Ovis aries: one gene and its partners. The protein of the gene in region 4 interacts with the protein of the main gene of each other region in a pairwise test. Links are inferred from orthologs where the notes say so. Each region holds a gene or a part of one and is shown on either strand. Other genes may lie near its edges.

Evidence for each region.
Region 1: the proteins of CEP63 (region 4) and PPP4R1 interact in a two-hybrid assay, tested with the Homo sapiens proteins (2 studies listed by BioGRID and IntAct). The link is inferred for Ovis aries from reciprocal best matches to the Homo sapiens genes CEP63 and PPP4R1.
Region 2: the proteins of CEP63 (region 4) and INTS6L interact in a two-hybrid assay, tested with the Homo sapiens proteins (2 studies listed by BioGRID and IntAct). The link is inferred for Ovis aries from reciprocal best matches to the Homo sapiens genes CEP63 and INTS6L.
Region 3: the proteins of CEP63 (region 4) and TBC1D15 interact in binary tests that used the Homo sapiens proteins (3 or more experiments, as listed by UniProt). The two-hybrid records come from large-scale screens. The link is inferred for Ovis aries from reciprocal best matches to the Homo sapiens genes CEP63 and TBC1D15.
Region 5: the proteins of CEP63 (region 4) and GSE1 interact in a two-hybrid assay, tested with the Homo sapiens proteins (2 studies listed by BioGRID and IntAct). The link is inferred for Ovis aries from reciprocal best matches to the Homo sapiens genes CEP63 and GSE1.
Region 6: the proteins of CEP63 (region 4) and EZH2 interact in binary tests that used the Homo sapiens proteins (3 or more experiments, as listed by UniProt). The two-hybrid records come from large-scale screens. The link is inferred for Ovis aries from reciprocal best matches to the Homo sapiens genes CEP63 and EZH2.
Region 7: the proteins of CEP63 (region 4) and PCNX4 interact in a two-hybrid assay, tested with the Homo sapiens proteins (2 studies listed by BioGRID and IntAct). The link is inferred for Ovis aries from reciprocal best matches to the Homo sapiens genes CEP63 and PCNX4.

The regions. Positions count from the first base shown.
Region 1 is NC_056076.1:42,175,729-42,177,976, forward strand, and holds the end of PPP4R1 (serine/threonine-protein phosphatase 4 regulatory subunit 1), read right to left. Parts: intron 1,621-2,248; coding exon 1,457-1,620; 3' UTR 501-1,456; downstream 1-500. UniProt on the Homo sapiens protein: Regulatory subunit of serine/threonine-protein phosphatase 4. May play a role in regulation of cell division in renal glomeruli. The PPP4C-PPP4R1 PP4 complex may play a role in dephosphorylation and regulation of HDAC3.
Region 2 is NC_056080.1:99,350,249-99,352,454, reverse strand, and holds the end of INTS6L (integrator complex subunit 6-like), read left to right. Parts: coding exon 1-40; intron 41-737; coding exon 738-840; 3' UTR 841-1,706; downstream 1,707-2,206.
Region 3 is NC_056056.1:107,983,474-107,986,654, forward strand, and holds part of TBC1D15 (TBC1 domain family member 15), read left to right. Parts: intron 1-1,725; coding exon 1,726-1,842; intron 1,843-3,143; coding exon 3,144-3,181. UniProt on the Homo sapiens protein: Acts as a GTPase activating protein for RAB7A. Does not act on RAB4, RAB5 or RAB6.
Region 4 is NC_056054.1:255,417,167-255,420,666, reverse strand, and holds part of CEP63 (centrosomal protein of 63 kDa), read left to right. Parts: coding exon 1-121; intron 122-896; coding exon 897-1,182; intron 1,183-3,036; coding exon 3,037-3,195; 3' UTR 3,196-3,500. UniProt on the Homo sapiens protein: Required for normal spindle assembly.
Region 5 is NC_056067.1:11,187,734-11,190,668, forward strand, and holds part of GSE1 (genetic suppressor element 1), read left to right. Parts: intron 1-970; coding exon 971-1,074; intron 1,075-1,597; coding exon 1,598-1,732; 3' UTR 1,733-2,935.
Region 6 is NC_056057.1:113,214,573-113,218,623, forward strand, and holds the start of EZH2 (histone-lysine N-methyltransferase EZH2), read right to left. Parts: upstream 2,801-4,051; 5' UTR 2,674-2,800; intron 2,584-2,673; exon of another isoform or gene 2,568-2,583; intron 1-2,567. UniProt on the Homo sapiens protein: Polycomb group (PcG) protein. Catalytic subunit of the PRC2/EED-EZH2 complex, which methylates 'Lys-9' (H3K9me) and 'Lys-27' (H3K27me) of histone H3, leading to transcriptional repression of the affected target gene.
Region 7 is NC_056060.1:70,384,149-70,387,648, reverse strand, and holds part of PCNX4 (pecanex-like protein 4), read right to left. Parts: intron 922-3,500; coding exon 818-921; intron 1-817.

The DNA of each region.
Region 1 (2,248 bases), on a different chromosome or scaffold from region 4:
ACTCTGTGGCTCTGCCCTTATTACCTGCGTCACACATTACCTGTGTGTTTACTTTTTTGTTCGTCTCCGTGAATCTGCCCACACACGTTCCCAGAGCACAAACATCCAGTTATAATGAAAGAGGAGGAACCAGAGGCTCATCTGTAATGACAAGTGCAGGAAGCAGCCTGTGGATCCCCGAGGTCTGAGGTCACAGTGGGCTCATGACACGTCTGGGGAGTCCCCACCAGCTGAGAAGACAGAACGGAAACCACGAGCAAGCATCTCTCACAGCCTTCACGAAGCTTGTCCATGTGGCATCTCACTTGCCAGACGTGGGGCGGGCAGGCTTCACCATCCCCTCGCACGCACAGACCTGGGCTCAGAGGCCTTTCCTGGGAGTGAAGACCCTCCCCCAGGCGGTGTCGGGGGTGGGAACCGGGGTGCATACTCGCCCTCAGTGGGGAGGCCCTGCTACCGGCCCAGGGTGTGCACAAGTTTCAAAGAAGTTACCAAACTAGTTAAAAGACAAATATTTTAATCCAGTTTTCCCATTTTATACTAAAATCATTAATACAGGTCACAAATTGCATTTATTCTAGAAAGCAGTCAGAAGTGTGTCCATCTCTGTATAGATCTTAGTAATAAATTTTATTTGGACAAGAGAACTTGTGCACAACAGTCCAAGAGCATGATTACAGACTGCGGCCCTCCCCGGGGGCACGGTGGTATACAGTATGTGAGACAAGTTGCACCTCAGAGCCGATCATGATCAAGTTAAAAACACCTGACATACAGAATACGTGCTAATAAATTTCCTCCGGGTCATGACCAGCATGAAGAAACCAGGACACGGATGCTCGGCAGACTCTGTGAGTGTGCACAGCAATATGCTGCATTTAAGAGTCACAATCAGCTCCACGTAGTGTTAGCATTGAGCCCTCAGGAGAAATCCAAAAAATATCTCCTCCCCGTTTATGCACGGCTAAACTAGTCATACTTTGGGCTGGACGGGGCGGCGGCCGCAGCCCCCGCAGGGCCCTGCCCGCGTGGACACGGCGAGGCCTGGTGCTGGCGGTCTCGGCCCAGCCCGGATGGCGGTCTCCGCCTTCTGGCTGCACTTCCGTCTCGCGGTGGTGAGATCAACCAGCGGGAAGCAAAGAGGCCTCGGCGTCGCATCCCTTCCGAGGAGAACGCTGGGCGATTCAAGTTTCGTTCAGTCAGGAAGACGGAAGGATTTAAGGCTTCGGTGACAATTATAATCCTCTGAGAAAAGTGTTTTCCCTTCAAGTCAAGACGAGACAACGGCGTTGACTGCACTTTCTCTTGACTCTGAGAATCCCTGGAATCGGTGTAGGCAACTTGCACCTGCAGCCGAGTGTCGCGGGAGGACGGGCCCCAAGGCTGTCCTGGCCACGCGTGGGCGCCAGCGGGACCTCGGCTCCCCGGGCGCGGGAGGCCCCCGGGACCACGCCAACTAGTAGGTGGAGGAGGCTGTGCTCAGGGCGTCTTCAGAGATCCTGGTGCTGGCCGGGTGGGTGCTGGCGAAGTACTTGACGTCACTGTCGCGGTCCATCTGCAGGGCCATGATGGCCTGCTCCACGGCCTCCTGGTGACAGCTGGCGGAGGCCAGGAAGTGCTCTGGCAACAGGAAGTGCAGACAATCAGAGTTAGCTTTGCTGGATGACCGACAGTGATCCATAGAACTCATGTTCTATGGAAAACACCCGAATATAAGAGAATCAAAAATTTACCTTGTTTTTCTAACAGACTAAATCCTGTGAGATCTAATGGCAGCAATGCTAATAAATATATTGAAACTGGTGCTTGTTATAGCCATTACTTGACTTAGGTAGAGGAAAAACTTTTCCAAATACAAACTACCTACACAAAGAGAACCAGAGTCTTCTCCAACCATTCAGTGATGAATTCCAAAGGAGAAACAGGGAGCAACGTACAGGCCCCTGCGTTCTATTTCAAAGTTAGTCTACGCAAAACTCTACCTGTCCCTGCTCACGAATTCACACGTTCAAGGGACATTTATCAGGCATTTGGGTGGGGGCAGTCCAACAGCCTGAGTCTTGAGGGAGGAGCTTATAATCTGCAGCAAAGCAGACAATAAGGGCACGTCCTCCACCTGACGCACATGCGCCTCCCGCCCCAAAGCTGAGATGGAGGTCAGGTGGGTGCCGAAGGCATGGTCCTCACTGGATACCCAACTGGCCACACTACTGACTTCAAAGTATGAAGACAAGGCCATGTGGGACAG
Region 2 (2,206 bases), on a different chromosome or scaffold from region 4:
AGAAACAATTTGTTGAATTTACCATCAAGGAAGCTGCACGGTGGGTGTGAAGAGGAACTCTTCATTGTGTTTTTTTATTTATTTAATTATTTTTGGTGACGCTGGGTCTTCTTTCTGTGCTCAGGCTTTCTCTAGTTGCAGCGCACAGGCTTGTTATTTCAGAGGCTTCTCTTATTGCAGAGCACGGGCTCTAGGGTGTGCAGGCTTCAATAGTTGCAGCATCTGGGTTCAGTAGTTGCAGCTCCTGCGCTCTAGAGCACAGGCTCAGTAGTTTGGGTGTGTGGGCTTAGTTGCCCCGAGGCATGTGGAATCTTAATTCTTGGACCAGGAATCAAACCTGTGTCCCCTGCATTGCAGAGCAGATTCCATTAGACAACCGGGGAAGTCACTTGTGTGTTTTTGTGAGCAAAAGGACCCAATGTAAGACAGGCAGAGGGATTGATCCTGCCTTTCTTTTGTAAGCCCTGGCCTTCATGCATAGTTACAGCTATCTCCAGAGGCATTTAGATTGCTATTATCCAAGTCCAACTCATTCACCAAAGTCTATGGGAGCTTTCTGGACTCTTCACAGTCTGAGGTGGGCTTGGGCTCTCAGTTGGTACTCTTGGTATTAGCTAAGCCCCATCTTTACATGAAGATACATTCTCTATTTCCCATGTAAATCGTCGGTTCCACCTGGTACCCCACACAGTGCTTTAAGGACTTTTTGGTTAATAAAATTCCTCTTTCTTTTTTAGGTTCAAAAGACGAGTCTTAATTCAGTACCTTGAGAAGGTACTAGAAAAAATAGAATCCTATCACCTTCTCAACAATGTTAATCACATCAACAGCAGATCATGATGTTACGGCAGAGACCAAGAAGGAAAAAAGAACAAGTTCTCTGTGTTGTAGGACAGAGCGGGATATTGTTGAACATCTTAGGATGTTTTAATCAAGGGAACTGGCTTCCAGAGGTTAAGAAAAAACAATGACACCTTTCATTTTCTGATTCTCTGGCAGTAAAAGCTGGCTTTGCCCTACGTTTTCTTTGAAAGTACTAACTGGTTGTTTTATTGTTACTTTTCCCAATTGAGGAAGGTGACATGATTAATCCAGCAGATTAAGTTCAGTGAACACACACAAGTGATAAGGGTTCACTCTTGAGTTTGGTCATCCTGGGCATGTCCAGAGTGACTAGGGGCCACCTGCAGGTAGAGCACTACTTGATGCTCTTACTATGGCATTTAGAAAGAAGAGGGGTTCAGAGTCCAACTGCTAATTGTGTGTGTTCTGAACGAAGTTTTCAACAATTCCTAGTTGTGCCTTTAAAACCATGCAATATTCAGGACAGTTTGGATCAAAGAGTGAGAAAGCTGCTATTTGGGTAACTTATTTCTCCATGGGAGGGGGCAGGGAGAGTCACCAAATGATCTACCTCCAGCTGTCTTCTATTTTGTCTAGAGACATTACAAAGTACACCTGAGGCCACCTCCACCCCTGACATTTGTTCTTGCATGTGATGCCAGAAAGGCTTCAGGTGGACTTGTGCATTCTGTGCTTCAGAAGCACTAAAAGAAAAAGTAATGTAGATATTTCCTTTAATGTTTATACAAAAGTTTTTATGGAGCAGTATTGTTATGTTTGTATTTGCAGAAATTTAAGTGTACAAAGAGATTTTGACTTTTCATATATAAAATAAATCATTTTATTGATTTTTCACAAGGTCATTGACGCTTGAGAAATTTCTAGTTTTATCTTTCTTGTGATTTGTAACTCCTTTCAGAAAAAATGCCCACTGTAATTAAGATGTTAGCAGAATGATGTAAACTTCAAAATGTCACTCACTGAACTGGTGAAACTGGTGGAGTGGGGTACTCCAGAAACACTGAAAATGCTGGGGAAAATGATTGGAATCAAGTTTACTGGGACTCTGGAAAATAGAGGTTTACAGCAACCAAGTGAATGTTGAGTCAGAAGAAGACCCAGTGAAATGTGATAGGAAAATCTGGTAGCATTTTAACTTATTCTTGCCTCATTCTCCTCCCCAGTATAACAGTGGTCTTGAAGATGTCAGCCTGCATTCCAACTGAGGGTTCCTGGCTCAAGAGGGAGGAGAATAGACCTTATTCCCAAGGAATTGTGTTTGTTTAAACCTGTCCAGAGGCCTCCCTGAAGGACTGATCAATGGGATCGATTGCTTTTCTTTTGTCTAACTATTAAAAGACGC
Region 3 (3,181 bases), on a different chromosome or scaffold from region 4:
GACTGGGGGCCAGGAGGTTTCCCAGAACCAGTTGTGTAGACCATTTGACCTTGGGATACTTTATGAGACTGTGCTGAATTTGGGTGTAGATTTAAATATAGTTAAGGAAGTTTTGGCAGGCCAATCAGTTGAGATGGTACTTTATTTGTAGTCTGGAGTATTGGGAGGGAACCAACTTTCGTTCTGCTTTTTAAAGAAATTTAAGTTAGAGCAAAATACTAAGAATAATGTAACAAATATGCTACTATCTGCATTCAACGTATGTAATAATTTTGCCTTATTTACTTCTATCACGTTGGCCAAAAAGTTTGTTCGAACGAACTTTTCGGCCAATCCAAGAGTCTTTTCTCTTTCTTTCCAAGGCAAAAAATGTTGAAAGATATAGCTTAGATCTTTAATCACCACCCCAAGCCCCATTACCCTTTTCCTCACTCTGGAGAGTATTCATGATCATGTTTTTGGTTTATATCTTTTTATTCCATCTTGTACCCAGGGCACCTCATGATGAAAAGCAAGATATATTTTCTTTTCATATGTCTGTTAATTGTTAACAGATGGCAGTACTTTCGAAATAGACTATTGGTATGATGACCGTCCACTACCTTATCTTTATAAAAGTAAAGTTGACAGAAACTTTGCCAAGGAAAGAATGGGGGAAATACTCTATTCGAATAATAAGTAAACTTAATATGCAGTGAGTATCCTGAGGCTTTTACACCTGGAGGTTGATTCCTGTACTTTTGGAGGCTATGCTCCCATTAGAGAAGGTGATCCACTAACTGAAGGATGCCCACTTTCTGGAGGAGCATTTCTTTGTTTGAAATTAGAAGGAACACTTAACATGTTCTTGACCTAGAATTGTACTTTGAAGTTTATCAATTTCATTAAATTAGTATCTCAGCTTCTTTTTAAAAGTTTTCAATAATTGTAATAACTCCTTAATCTGTGTTTACCAAATAAATTAGGACTTTTAATGAAATCTTTGAGGTTAATTGCATTATAATTAAACTTTCAAAAATGGATTTAGTCTTAAAATGATTCTACTTGGTTTATTTTTAGTAAAAGAAGTAAAAACATTTCTGGTATGCTTTAATAATATTGTTTACATGAGTCTTTGATCTTTCTAAAAAGATATTAAGTACATTAACCAGAGGAAATTAAGACTTTAAGTTTTAGGACATTGATTAGGAAGAAATGATCAAATGTTGTACACATTTGGGGTATAAATTTTGAGTGGTTGATTCAGTTTTTGTCACAATTAGAGATATTCTGATTTATTATATAATTTGTTGTTTAGAATGTAGAGCTACCTCTGGGTGTTTTTGATTCCATGCAGTGTATAACTGCATTTTTATTCCTATGATGTAGCTTTTTCCCCCACCCCAAGAAACTGAAGGTGATTTAAAAATGAAAAACTGAAGGTTCAGAAAAATATTGAAAATACCTCTAACCCTTACACCTTACCCATATAGTATTGATTAGGCTCAGAACTAACTGTAGTCACCTAAAGAGACATGTTTGGAATTCATCATAATTCATTTATTGTTTGTGGGTAAAGGTAAGACTTTCATTCCCCACACCTCATTTCTTAACTAGAAAAAGAATGGACTATTCCATCTAGGCAAGTTCTGCTTTGCATAGAAGTCATTCAGAATTGAGCATCGTTATCTATGAAGGAAATATTTTAGAATTGATAGAGTTTACTATGTGTTCTGTTTTCTATAGGTAATGTGGACTGAACTACCATGTAAAAATTTTCATCTTCTTCTCTGTTGTGCTATTCTGGAGTCAGAAAAACAACAAATAATGGAAAAACATTATGGCTTTAATGAAATACTTAAGGTAGTTATTCTTCTAATTTAGATTTTAATATTTTGACTCTTTCCTCTTTTTGTTGGAAAACAAACATTTCCTTGGAGTGTTATTGAATCTCTTGAGTGACTTAAAATTTTATCAGTGGTAGTCAATACTAGGCCCAGTTTTCTGAGAAGGACAGTTCAGCAGGTTGAACATGTTGGCCAATTATTTTTTTCCTTGCTAATTAGAAAGAGAAACATGCGACAAATGCTCTTTTATGTTGTTTACTTTTCTAAACAAAGTAATACTTTTGCTTATAACTTTGAGATAGTAGACTTGGGACAGCTGCTGGATTTATGTTCCATAAGCTTATTATTAATAGCTGTTCCTTAGCTTTACAACTTTGAAATGCTCTAATGAGGGATATATTAAATTTCCCATTTACTTGTAGTCTGAGGGTATTTTGTTTTGAGGATTTTGTCTACAGTGTAATATAACTAGTATGACACCACCCTTATGGAAGAAAGCTAAGAACTAAAGAGCCTCTTGATGAAAGTAAAAGAGGAGAGTGAAAAAGTTGGCTAAAATTCAGCATTCAGAAAATTAAGATCATGGCATCTGGTCCTATCACTTCATAGCAAATAGATGGGGAAACAGTGGCTGACTTTGTTTTTGGGGGCTCGAAAATCACTGCAAATGGTGACTGCAGCCATGAAATTAAAAGACGCTTGCTCCTTGGAAGAAAAGTTATGACCAACCTAGACAGCTTATTAAAAAGCAGAGACATTACTTTGCTAACAAAGGTCCATCTAGTCAAAGCTATGGTTTTTCCAGTGGTCATGTATGGATGTGAGAGTTGGACTATAAAGAAAGCTGAGCACCGAAAAATTGATGCTTTTGAACTGTGTGGTATTGGAGAAGACTCTTGAGAGTCCCTTGGACAGCAAGGAGATCCAACCAGTACATTCTAAAAGAGATCAGTCCTGAATATTCATTGGAAGGATTGATGTTGAAGTTGAAACTCCAATACTTTGGCCACCTGATTTGAAGTACTGACTCGTTAGAAAAGACCCTGATGCTGGGAAGGATTGAAGGCGGGAGGAGAAGGGGACGACAGAGGATGAGATGGTTGGATGGCATCACCGACTCAATGGAAATGAGTTTGAGTAAACTCCAGGAGGAGTTGGTGATAGACAGGGAGGCCTGGCATGCTGTAGTCCATGGGGTCACAAAGAGTCGGACATGACTGAGCGACTGAACTGAACTGACTGAATATAACTAGTAATAAATTGTGTAATAGAGTATAATAGTGTTTCAGTTTCAATTATTTTATTGATTTATTCTAGCATATCAATGAATTGTCCATGAAAATTGATGTGGAAGA
Region 4 (3,500 bases):
AAGATTTGATGGATACCAAAGGTCAGCTGGAGATTTCTACTCAGATATGCAAAAAAAACCGGGACAGGATCTTTAAACCAACACACAGCAGAGTACCTGAGTTCAAGAATACAGAGTTCAAGTAAATTTTCTTCATAGTTTATTTAAAATATGTATCTTTATTATGTAATGCTCATTTCTTTGAGAATAATTTCCAATTTATAGAAATTAAATCCTTATCAAAGGACCGTATGTTTAATTCTGAAGTACAGTATGTACAAGTAAAGCTGTTAGGTTAAAAAGTGCAGGGGGTTATATATTACTTTCAAGTAAACTTCTAGATGTAGGTGAGAATAACAGCCTAATTCCTGAGTTTTGTCATGCTGCTTCCCACCTTTCTAGCTTCACTTGTCCCATAAGAAGTGGAAGTTAGCTTTTTATAAAAAGCTTCTTTTGTATTTTTGGTGAACTAATAATAGATTGTTACCTAAAACATCAGCGTTCAATGCAGAACCACCCGACTTCAGCTCTTACATGTTTTCCTACCAGGAACCTTTGCTGACACCCTCTCTGCCACTCCCACCTCACCCCCAGATGAAGATAAGGGACTTCTCTCTGCACAGTACTTCCCTGTCTCCTACCACCAACCCCACTAGGGCACTTAGATAGCTTAAGTGTCTTCCTTGCTGTTGTGTAAGTCTGTGGGGACAGGGACGTGGTCATGGGGATTGGGTATTTGGGGCCAGGGTGATGAAGAGAATGCCTGGTCTGAACGGGCTTCTGAAATTTTGTAAATTATAGCCTTCTCCTTAGTCTGGTTCTGTATTTTTATTGAACTTCCAACAATAAGTCTGTTTCTTTAAAGGAGGAAAATTGCTACAATGTTTATCTGCTTTATTTTCTAATCTGCTATCCAGTTCAGCCCATGGCCAGCACAGGCATGATGGGATGAAGGCTGAGCCCTACAAAGCAGGTCTTCATTCTCCGCAAGGACAAGCGTCGGATAGCATAGAGCCTGTGTCCCTGTCCCGGGGCTTCAGCCCCCCAAGCCATCAGATCAGCTCTTGCTGCTCCACTGTCTCCCTGCCATCTAACTTTCTGTGCAAAACTAACTCTCTGCCTTCAGTGCTAGATACAAATGAAGCCAACTTTTCTGACACTATCTCTGAGAGTATAAATGACCCAGAAGACTTTACATCTTCGGTATGGAAACTTTCTGATCTTACTAGTTTATTAAGTGTGTTTAGTTTGATTTTTTTTTAATTTTAAGGCGGAGGATTTTTTTTTTTTTCCTTTTTGTCTCCTTACTGGTTCTTTCTCTTAAGTACCCTTTGTTATTCTCATGTATTTCTGTCCTAAGAATTTGCTTGTGAAGACTTCAGCCACAAGTACTTTTCAAAATGTGTCTTATTAAATATAAGTTATAGGGACTCATTTGTTTTTAGCCAAAATTGAGAATTCCCTTCCTGCCTTTTTTCAGAGAGGGTCACCTTTGTATTGGAAATGATTGGTTCAAAGAATATCTCTGCCTGCCAAGATAGTCCTGGGGCGTAGACACTGGTGAAGGAGAAAAGGAATGGCTGGAAAGGGAAAGAGTGGGTCGAGGCAGAGGAAGTAATGGCAGCTGATGTGTCTGTTATAGACCATAGACTGGGCCGCCCCACGGGGCCCTGGTGGCAGACGCTGCCCTGCGACAGGGCTGGCCCCTTGTTCCTGCAGATGTGAGGACCCCTCTCCACCCTTGTTTTTGCCTTCTGTGAAGCACTCATGTCTGGCCATTCATTCTCATCACCCTAATGGTCCTGTATCTGTGAAAGTTCAGTATTTTTGACTTTTTAATGTGCCAACAAGTCCATAGGAGTTCTCTTTTAGTTGTTGAAATAAATGTGCTATATATGTAATTCTGAAATCCAAAAAAGACCTGATGACTAACTTTCTTTTTAAGTTTGGCACTAAGACCTGACCTGGCCTGAACCGATATGATGTGATAAAATGTTGATTGATCCCACTGAACATTTTATGTCAGAAATACCAATGTGTTTGATGATGGGATGTTACCTCAGACTCATGCATAGGTCCTGTATTCTATATTTGTGAATTCATCTACTTGCTAAACTATTAGTTACCTGTAAACAGAACTCATAAGCACTTCCACAGTTATTCTTGAACATGGCAGAGCTGGACAAAATGTATCACTGGACTTGCACGTTTATAGCTAAGGTCAGCCAAGGTGGTACGTTACCCTCTTGTTTCAGCTCTTGTGCTGAGAGGCCCAGAAGATAGAGTCACTCAGGGACAGTACAGTGCACGAAGCTCAGATGCTGGGCTTGAACAGGGTTTGAACCCCAACTTTGGCACCCATTAATGGGGTGGCCTCAGGAAAGTCACTAAACACTGTGAACCTTGTTTTTTTGTGAAATAAAGCAAACAGAATCTACCTGGTGAGTTATTTTTAGGAGTTGGGATTATAATCTATGTGAAGTTTGTATGTATGTGTTTGTGTTTCCCATAAGAGCAGTGTTTCAATATTGATTAATTCAGTGTTTGAGATGACGTTATAGAAGATAACTACTACAGATAAGGATCAATGGAATATGGTGCATCTAAATTCTGAAGCCAGTGATCTCAGACAAGGGGCTGTAGACTCAAATTTTGGAGGAAGGAAAATATTGATTTTTAGCTGGTATCTAATTTATTACCGGTAGATTTTCTATGCTTTAAAAAGTAACATTCAGATTTTCATAAGTGAGTTTGAAATAAATAGGCATTAAGTATATCTCTTCTAGTGTATAGAAGGCTCTGAAAGTCTTTAAATGAGTAACTAATATATTTATATGACACTTCACACTTACATAACTGTGTCAGAAAGGAAGATATCTGTGTTAATTTTTGTGGAACTTTTAAAAAAAAAACTATTATTATCATTAGGATAAAGACAATATCTTGTCAGAGGAAAACATTCCCCTTTTGATATTGGTAGTTAGAAAATATCATGAATACTGTGTCTTAGAAATATACTGTTCAACTTACATATGTCAAAATTTGTTTCTCTTCTAGTGTCCCTTGCCTCTGTCTCCTCTTGGTTCAATAGCCACAAGATTTTTGGAAGAGGAAGAGCTGAGGTCTCATCACATTCTAGAGCGCCTAGATGCCCACATCGAAGAACTAAAGCGAGAAAGTGAAAAGACAGTGAAACAATTCACAGTCCTAAAGTAGCCTCTTAAAAATCACAAACTTGGAAATAAAAATAAACTCTGAAGAGTTACTGTCATCATGAAGTAGCAGCTCTTTGAAAACCTGAACATATGACTATATAGAAGCCATAAAAATGAGATGTACTAAAGCTGCCGTGAGGAATCTGAGAAGCTGATACTTAGCTCTAAGATGTTTTCTCTGCACTGTCTTGTTTAAAGGACTTTTTCCAGCAATAACATGTAAATAAACCACTTTGCTAGACTTTTTTCTCACATTAATATTTATTATCATAAAGTAGTACTTTCTCTTGCTGACTTAAATGTAAT
Region 5 (2,935 bases), on a different chromosome or scaffold from region 4:
GTGATGTTGAGCATCTCTTCAGCCATCTGTATGTCTTCTTTGGAAAAATATCTATCTAGATGTTCACCCAGATGGTGAAGTGGTGGTCCAGTGGTTAAGAATCCACTTTCCAGTGAGGAAAGTGTGGGTTCAATCCCTAGTCAGGGAACCCAAGATTAAGAAAAATAAGCGGGGGGGATCTGCACCCATTTTTTGATTAGGTTGGTTTTTAAAAATATTGAGCTACATGAGCTGTTTGTATATCTTGGAGATTAAATTCCTTATTGGTTGCATCTTTTATAAATACTTTCTCCTATACTATGGGTTGTCTTCTTGTTTTATGGTTTCCTTTGCCATGCAAAAGCCTTTAATTCGGTCCCACCGTTTGTTTTTGTTTTCAGTATTTTAGGAGGTGGATCAAAAAAGAGCTTGTTGCAATTTATGTCAAAGATTCTTCTGCCTCTGTTTTTCTCTAAGGGCTTTTTATAATAACCAGCCTTACATTTAGGTCTTTATCCATTTTGAATGTGCCTTTGTGTGTGGCGTTAGTGCTCTGTTTCATTCTTTTATATACAGTTGTCTAGTTTCCTCAGCACCACTTATTGAAGAGACTGTTAAAACAGATTTATTCCTGAAGATGTGAAGCTCAGTATCTTTCGGAAAGGCAGAGGTTTTACTTGTTAAAATGATAAATTTCTAACAGTTTTTGTGTCTAAGCCTTTTATCTTTCTTGAAAAATGCATCTTAAGGCTGTAAGTTGTTGCTGTTTCCTAAGCTGCGTCCCTTAAATTGCCTTTCAATGCTGTGTCCTCGGTCTTTATTCCCCTGGGTCGGGTTACTTTAGTAACATCTAGTCACCAGCACGATCTATAGGGAGGGAGCCATGTGGTCCAAATGATAGAGCTTTGACCAGCTGCTCTGGAGAGAAGAGGCCACGCGCCGGGCCTGGGGCCCTGGGTACAGAAGACGTCACCCTGGCTTGTCTTTTCAGAGCAAGATCTGGAGCGGCAGGTGCTGCAGGCGCAGTGCAGGCGGCTGGAGGCGCAGCATTACAGTCTCAGCCTCACGGCCGAGCAGCTCTCCCACAGCATGGCGGTGAGTCTCAGGGATCGTACTGGCTCCGTGGGGGCTTTCTTGACCCCACAGTGGTTATTCTCATTCAGCCTTTCGAGTCTGGGTTCAGGAGCACCCATACAGACAAGTTTTGAAGGGAAGTTGTGCTCTTGAGAGGGGCTAAATTCAGCAGTCACCTGAGGAGGGAGTGTCATCTGTTCGCAGAACATGGGTCTGGAAGGGTCGGGGGCGGGTGTACTGCCCGTATCAGCCTTCCCCCGTGCCGCGCTCAGGAGGATGGAGGGAGGGGGCCGAGCTCTTGGGACAGGACGGACCCCACACACACACACAGCCGTGACAGCGAGAGCCCTGCCATCTTCCGCTGTTGTGTGTTTGGGGCTTGGACACCTTGGCCACTCCCGACGCAGCAGAAGCTTGGCAGTGCCAGGGCCGACGCTGCGAGAGTGGCAGGTGCTGCCACTGGGAGATGCTGGGGGCAGCTAGAGCGCATCCCACAGCCTTCCTAACTGTGTGAACTGCGGGTCTGACACCAGTCTCCCTCCAGGAGCTGAGGAGCCAGAAGCAGAAGATCGTTTCAGAACGGGAGCGGCTCCAGGCGGAACTGGACCACTTACGGAAGTGCCTTGCGTTGCCTGCAATGCATTGGCCTAGAGGCTACTTCAAGGGTTTCCCGAGGTGACGGTTTCCCTTGCACTAGGCCGAACCTATAGTATAGAAATATTATCTATTTTATTACCTTGAATATTTAATATTTTTCACTGGGAGGTTTGACGCTTAAAAAAAAAAAAAAAAAAAAGAGAGAATGTGCCATGCATGAAGCAAAGGATTCCAGGCTCCAGAAAAAAAGAACGAACTCGCCTTGACTTCAGTGCAGTTGGATCACCTTTGTAACTCAGCAAGCAACCCGTTTAAGACGCCCATAGTTTCTTCCCTTTTAAAGGCGGTTTTTCCCTTCCCCACGTCGTCATGCTTTAGTCTCAAGATGAAGGCTCCATTACCAACACTAAGCTGTGCCCATCTCCCAGCCCCTGGGTGCATGAGGCGGAGCGGGCCACCGGTGTGCGTGTCGTGTGCTGCCAGGCCCTGTGGCCTCAGGAACCCGGGCTGCTCTGGCCGTGGGGTGGCCGGTCTCGCTCCTCCCCAGGATGGAGACCCGCTCCAGCAGAAGGAAGGTGGGGTGCATTCTAAGTAAAGGGCTTATTTGTTTCAGTTATTTTTCTGCAAAGTTTTCCTGAAAGCAACAGGTCCTAGGAGCACACAAAGCAACAGTACTGAAGCCTCACCCAAAGGCTTTTCCCCAGAAAAGCTCTTACCTAAAGTGAATCGACAGACTGAAGGTACCTTGTTATTCCTTCGTGGGGGAAAATGTCCAGAGCTCTATGTACATTTATCCACACCCACCCGATTGTTACTGCAGGGGGGGCGGGGGTGTTTTCATACAAATGTCAATTTTGAGAGAAAAGTCAAAGGTGCTTCAGCCTTGTACTGTGTATATATATTAAAAAACAAAGTTTTGTATGTTTTTATTACTTTAATTATTGTTATAAAAAGCCTGCCATTTTTAATATGTGGTTTGGGGGGATTTTTTGTTGTTTGTTTTCTTGTTTGGGGGTTTTTTGTTTTGTTTTTCTGGGCAAAAAAAAAAAAAAACAACCCTTGCTTTTAGTGTTTGTACTGCTGCTGGTCAGGACATTATTGAAGTGTTTTTAAAAATTAAAGAAGAAGAAAAGTAAAAAGAGCTTACCACTGGCGCCTACGCGAGCACTTCATTCTTGAGTTGCACCGGAGTGAGGTAGAAAGCCATGGTTCCTCCTTCCCTCTCCCCCGGGCCCTCCCCGGCTCCCCAGGCCAGCGAGGCGCTGCTGGTCTCCAGCAGGAACCA
Region 6 (4,051 bases), on a different chromosome or scaffold from region 4:
AAGTCAGAAACTAACTCAGACTCCTGGAGCATGCCAGCTCAAAGGATGGGGGATATCCTGGAAAATCTCCATGCGACCTGGGGAAATCTACCTACACATTTCTAGTGGTCAACACAAAGATAATCACTTTTACGTATGCATGCAAGGCAAAGCTGGTATAAACGAATTTGTGCTCTTTTTCTTTGCCTAACTATACTAAATCAACAAGCATAGTTTTTTATCACTGCTACTTAAACTAAATACACTCTCAATTCAAACACAAAAAATTTAAAACCAATTCCCCCAAAAACCTTTTCAAACAAAATCTTGTGGCAAGTACAAAGATAGTAATTATCAAATATAATGTACACAAGATGGGGAAAACTGAATTTTGTATTCTAAAAGATTCAAATTTCTGCCAAAATCTGCATAACTAGCTCACCTCCTAACAATGGGCAAGATTATCAGTAGGACTTTTTATAATTACCAACAACTAATATAAATGTAGACAATACTTAGGAACAGCACCTGGAATGTCAGTTCAGTGATGTTGAACACTGCAAAATGTGTAAGACTTTTACACTACATTTCTTTGTCTCCACTTTTTTGAAACCGTAAAATAGAAGGCTGCACATTAGATCAACAGATAAAACAATGCAAATAAGAAGAGTGTCTAAGTGTTTCTAAATTTCGTTCCTTTGAATACGTTCACTTTCCACAAAAATTAATATTTAAGATGCCATTTTCCTAAGTGTTTCCAAGACTTTAAACATTACATTCTCTCACACACCTCCAAAAAGAGAATAGGATTCTCTATATCTAAGACTAGAACCCCATCTATTCCTAACTTTAGGGAATAGGAAAAGGAAATTAAAATGTATCTTGAATACTTTCGTTTTCTTGCAAATAAAATGATCAATAGTTAGGATTACACACTTGCTCTACATTTTATCTCCAAACATAAAATATTTGCTAATGGTCATAAGGAGTAATAGAAAATAAACTCCACAACCAACCCCCCTAGCTCCCTAGTGATCTAAGGGTTAGGATCCCACCCGCTCGATCTCAAACCCCCCTAGAAGTACAGACTACATTCACCTGTGTTAGCATTAGTGTTTTTTAAAAGCTTTTTTAAACTGTTGTTTTAAATGTTGTTTTATGTGACATTGAAACGCCACAAAACTAAGCTGATAACGACCTTTCAAACCCAGCTAGCAAACCGTGCAGCATTTAAAGCATTTTTAAATACCAAAGACATCTTTATTTCCAAATGAATTAAAATTTTACAGATCCCGTGCGACAAAGTAGCTTAACTGCGGACAGCACACGTTCGATTTCTTAGGCAACGAACATTTCTGCAGCCAGTCTTTTCTGACTCAACAAAGCTATTGTTCACGGAAAACAAGTCCAATTAATGAGAAATTGCTAACCATACCATCCAAACACACATTTAGCATAAGCGTTTTCTTTGGACCAACTCTTTGTACCATCTCTTCCCCGTTCATCCCCTAGGGATTCGGGGAACAATCTCTCCTCACTAAATGACAGCTGATTTCGTTAGCACCTGTCGCCAGTCTCACACGAGTTGGCCAAAACAGCCTGGACAGGTTTCTTTTTTTTTTTTTTTTTTTGGAAGATGATGATTCTTCAGAAACTGGGGATTCACCAGGCGTTGAGTTCACTAAGTTTTCCAAAATACCACGCTTCTCGATCCCTCCCGTTCTTCACAAAGTGACCCTGAGGCACCGACTTTTGGGGAGGCGGAGATGGGGGTGGGGGGCCCACAAGGACGCGTGAACTCGACGGAAAGCCCTCCGTAACGAACAAAACCGCGGAGATGGGGGCGGGGGTGGGGGGTAGAACAGCGCGACCCGCCCCTCAAACTTAACGGAGAGCCCCGCCGAGACGACAGAGGCGGCCGGGGACCGCCTGGTCCGAGCGGGGCTCGGGGCCTCAGGGCTCCGGGGCAGCTTTCGGCGGAAATGTCAGCAAGCGCGGACGCCCGAGTCCGGTCTCCGCGCGCCGTCCCGGCCCCCGCGGCCCCGGGCCGAGCCTGCGCGCTCGCGGGGAGGGGGCGTGGGGCCGAGCCCGCCCGCCCGCTCCCCACGCCCCCTCTCCGCCCGCTGTCAGGCCCCGGTGTCACTGCCCCTGACTCGCGCCGAGCTCCCCCGAGACACAGTCCGTCCTTTGTCTCTGAGTGCGCACTCGGCGCTGAGGTCCCATCAACTTGTGTGGGTCCCGTCCCACCCGGGCGCTCCCGCCGCCGTGCCGCTCCACACAAAGGAGACCGGGGGCTCGGGCGGCCGGCCCGCCCCGGGCACCCGAGCGCCCCCAGCCCGGCCCCGGCGCCTCGGGAGGAACGGGCGCGCGAGGGGACCCCCCCCCCCCCGCAAACCCTCCGCTCGGCGCCCGCCCGGGCTCCCGCCTCGGGTTTCTCTGGCTCCCACACAGCCCGCCCGCGGGGGTCGCGCGGATCGGCCCGGGCCCACAGCCCTTTCCGAGGGGGGTGAGGGGAGGTCTCTTCTCACCCCCACGAGCCCCAGAGGCTCCCCGGGAAAGCCCGCTTGTGGGGGTGGGGGGAGGATTACCCGGACCGGCTGAGCGGCAGCGGAGATGTCCCGCCGCCGCCGCCCCACGCCGAGCTCCGGAGCCCCGCCGGCCGGCCGGCCTGCCGGCCCGACAGCGGCGCGTTACCTGCGCCCCGCGCCCCAGCCCGCGCCGCTCCCGCGCGCCGCTCCCGCGCGCCACCGCTGCCGCCGCCGCCGGGGCTCCACCGCCTTCTGCGTCCCAGTGGGTGTCGGACGCTCCCGGACCGAGCGCCAAACCAGGCAGCCCAATCGCCATCGCTTTTATTTGGCCCCCCCTGTCCAACCAAGCGCCGCCCCGATTGGCGGGACGCGAGGCGGGCTCCCGTCCAATCACAGGGCCCGCCGGCCTCTGAGGCGCCGAGCCAGCCCCACGCAGAGGCGCCCGCGGGACTCTGCCGGGCCGGGCCGGCGGCGCGTGCGCGCGGGCGGGCAGGCGCTGAGGGACGCTGCCGCCTGAGTGGAAGCGCCGCGCCGGCTCTTTGTTCTTTTCTCCGAACGCCCGGCGCCTCTCAGGAAGGCGGTGGGGCCGGCGTTCGGGGAAGAAGGGCCTCCGGAGCCCGAATCCCCAAACCGCGGGCGGGAAGGCGGGCTGGGCGGGGTGGCGGGAACCGGCCGGAGGGCGGGACGGCGCGCTCGCGGCGCTTGGCGGGAACCGCCGCTTCGGTGTTCCCGGGCCGGAGGGGCGGGGCGGGGCCGAAAGCCAAGTTTGAACCAGTTCAAAACTCGGGGTGGTAACGGTTTCAACTGCCGCGCTCTTTTTCCCCGCGCGCGCAGCGGAGGCCCTGGCCGGCCGGCCGGCGGGCGGGAAGAGCCGGACACGAGGGCTCGCGGCGCCCGGTCTGCCGGCCAGACGCCCTCTACGGCCCCAGCTCCAGCCCGGCTGGTCTCGGGCGAGGAGCTGCGAGCCTCCCGCCCTCCGGCGTGGCCGATGCGCCGTCCCCCGAGCCGAGCGGAGCGCCCTGCCGGCTACTTTTGTCTGCTGCCGCCCCTCGGCCGCTTGGCCCGACTCGGGTCCCACTGGACTTTGGCTAGTCGATCCCACAGTGCCCATCGCCTTAGAAACCCTGGGAAAGAGAGAAGTCACGATTATTTCAGATTCCTCATTCAGAGCGCCTTGTTCAAACCCTTTCCAGTGTTGCAGTGCCAAGCACGTGTCAGCGTTAAAAATCATTTATCAAGGATGATTGTTCATGTCCCTCGTGCTAACTTCTCTACAAAGTATTAAGATGCCAGCATTTTTCAAGTATTAAAAAAAAAAAAAAAGATCATGGGGTGAGCCTGTCTCCACCCAGAGGAGTTAGTGCTATTCCACTTAGGATACAGTCGCCCTTTTTGATTTATCTGGCAGTGAAGTTAAGGTTATTCCGATTTTTTTTTTTAGTAGGGTGTAACTATAGGGCAAAGTAACCCCCTCACCCACATAAACTGAGATTCCAAATTGAGAGCTCACGTGCGGGGCAGGGAAGACGGTCACCTATGAGCTC
Region 7 (3,500 bases), on a different chromosome or scaffold from region 4:
TAAGATTTCTTACTGGATTGGATGTGGGGTATAGAAGTAAACAAGGAATCATATATCACTAGACTAAAGCCCAAATGCTTTTGAGCTGAGCTACCAGAAGGATGGAATTGTCAGCAAGAACTGGGCCAGTCTGATATTAAGAAGTCAAGGAAGAGGGAAGGAACCATCAGAGGAGACTGTTAAGGATTAATCTGTGAAACAAGTGAAGAGATCACTTCACTTGACAAATGCTTCACTGTGTCAAGTGCTTCTGACAGGTCAAATAAGACCAGGTGTAAGAATTGATCACTGGATTAAGCAATCGTCAGTCATTGGAGACCCTGATATTAGTGGTTTTTCAGTAGCATAATTGAAAGGGTTAAAAACTAGGGTAATTGAAGAGAAAATGGGAGAAATGAAAATTGGAGATATGATGATAAGCAATTCTAATAAAGCATTTTGCTCTGAAAGGAGAAAAACAGAGTGTTAGCAGGCAAGGGAAGTGGGGTCAAAAGAAGGTTTTTATTAAGTTGAGAATGCTTATATGATACAGGAGTGAAGAAAATATTACTCAGTCACCTTTTCGAGATGCTCAATCAGATAAGGATAAAAAGAGTAAGACTGGATAAAAAAAGGGGCAAGTGTACTTTGTTATTATGCTCTATCATATAGTCAACACTAGTCTATCAATATGTACAAACTGAAATATACTTTAAAAATCCTAGGTGTTTCACAAGTAATTAAAAGACACTGTCTTTCAAAGTGAGCTATTAAGTCTCTGATGTGTGTGTAACAAAAATTTTAACTTGTAAAAGAGAGATTTCAAATGCATAATGACCTTAATGTTAACACAGCAATAAGTATAGCCACATTCTAGAATCATTATCCATATTAAACGATCCTGAAAACGGCCCAAGTAATGAGACCCAGGTAAGAGGAGACCTAAAACAAATTAGAAAAAAAAGTAAGTAATTGTTCAAGCTTGTTTTATTTTGCCATGTGAATCTTTAAAAAAATCAATAAAACACTTGGAACTAATTCATAACTCTTTCTACCCTCTTTTTATGTCAAAAATACAAATGACTATCCATTGCCTATCAGGAGAAATTAAGCTTTTTACAGGAACAGCTGGAAGAAAAAACTATAGGTGATAATTAATAAGAATTTAAGAATATATTTTCCATAAAAACAACAAATGAGAACCTCTTACATAAAATTCTAAATACATGCTAAATATATTAGGAAAACAAATATATTTTGGACATTTTTATACATGCCTATAAAAATGATTTTTGCTGTTAAAAACTTACATAAAATGCTACCTACCAGGCTATAATACAAATACTCTTAAAACTTAGTTTTTCTCTTAACATTAAGTCTCTGAGATATTTTATTGACTACAAAGCTCATTCACTGTAACCGCACTGAGAATTCACTGTATGAATGTAGCTAAATTTAAATATTCATTTTTTGTTAATAAACATTTCATGTTTTCTAATTTTTCCCCATTATAAATAATGCTGTACAAATTACTTTGTACAAATCTGTTTGTATTGCTATCAAATAAAAGGTCTGCTTACAAAGTTGGCCTTGGAAACTTGTATTTCACTACCCTAACTGATAAACAGTCTCTCTTTGGGCCTAAACTGTGCAAAGAATACAGGTTATACTGAATACTTGCTTTCCTTTTGGGAGGCTGGAATTTTGGCATGTGGTAGGCAGAGGAGCCTACACGACCAGCCTTCAATATAAGGTTTAGGCACTGAGTCTCAAATAAGCTTCCCCAGTAGTCAACATATCACACATACTGTCACAACAAGTTGCTGGGAAATTATAACACGTTCTGTGTAACCCTACTGGGAGAGGATCCCTGGAAGCTTTCACCCTGTCTTCTCACCCCACGTGATTTTCCTTTGCTGTATTTGTTTTGCATCCTTTTGCTATATTAAATCTTAGCTATGAGCACAACTGAATGCTGAGTCCTATGTGTCCTAGAAAATCATCAAACCTGGGACCCCCAAAACACATGTGCAAGAGTGTCTCTAGAACTGGAATCACTGGATCATAAAATCTAAAACTGAAATCCTTAGGTCATGAGATATGTACATCATTATTACAGACTATTAAATTTACTCATCAAGGTAGCTGTATGAATTTACATTTTTACATTTTGCCAATCAGATGTGTGTGAAATGTTACCTCACTGTTGTTTGTTTGCTTTTTCTCCAGGAAATACTTAAAACACACTTACTGGATGAATATAATTGATTTGATAATAAATATAAGGTATTTATTATTTTAGATGTGAGTTTAACCTTCAGTTCAGTTAAGTTCAATTCAGTTGCTCAGTTGTGTCCGACTCGGAGACCCCATGAGCTACAGCATGCCAGGCCTCCCTGTCCATCACCAACTCCCAGAGTTCACTCAAACTCACATCCCATCAAGTTGGTGATGCCATTCAGCTATCTCATCCTCTGTTGTCCCCTTCTCCTCCTGCCCCTAATCCCTCGCAGCACCAAAGTCTTTTCCAATGAGTCAACTCTTCGCATGAGGTGGCCAAAGTACTGGAGTTTCAGCTTTAGCATCAGTCCTTCAAAAGAACACCCAGGACTGATCTCCTTTAGAATGGACTGGTTGGATCTCCTTGCAGTCCAAGGGACTCTCAAGAGTCTTCTCTAACACCACAGTTCAAAAGCATCAATTCTTCGGTGCTCAGCTTTCTTCACAGTCCAACTCTTACATCCATACATGACTAATGGAAAAACCATAGGCTTGACTAAACGGACCTTTGTTGGCAAAGTAATGTCTCTGTTTTCAATATGCTATCTAGGTTAGTCACAACCCTCCTTCAAAGGAATAGGCGTCTTTTAATTTCATGGCTGCAATCACTACCTGCTGTGATTTTGGAGCCCAAAAAAATAAAGTCTGACACTGTTTCCACTGTTTCTCCATCGATTTCCCATGAAGTATGGGACCGGATGCCATGATCTTCGTTCTCTGAATGTTGAGCTTTAAGCCAACTTTTTCACTCTCCTCTTTCACTTGCATCAAGAGGCTTTTTAGTGCCTCTTCACTTTCTGCCATAAGGGTGGTATCATCTGCATATCTGAGGTTATTGATATTTCTCCCAGCAATCTTGATTCCAGCTTGTGCTTCTTCCAGTCCAGCATTTCTCATGATGTACTCTGCATAGAAGTTAAATAAGCAGGGTGACAATATACAGCCTTGACGTATTCCTTTTCCTATTTGGAACCAGTCTGTTGTTCCATGTCCAGTTCTAACTGCTGCTTCCTGACCTGCATACAGATTTCTCAAGAGGCAGATCAGGTGGTCTGGTATTCCCATCTCTTTCAGAATTTTCCACAGTTTATTGTGATCCACACAGTCAAAGGCTTTGGCATACTCAATAAAGCACAAATAGATGTTTTTCTGGAACTCTCTTGCTTTTTAGATGATCCAGCGGATGTTGGCAATTTGATCTCTGGTTCCTCTGCCTTTTCTAAAACCAGCTTGAACGTCAG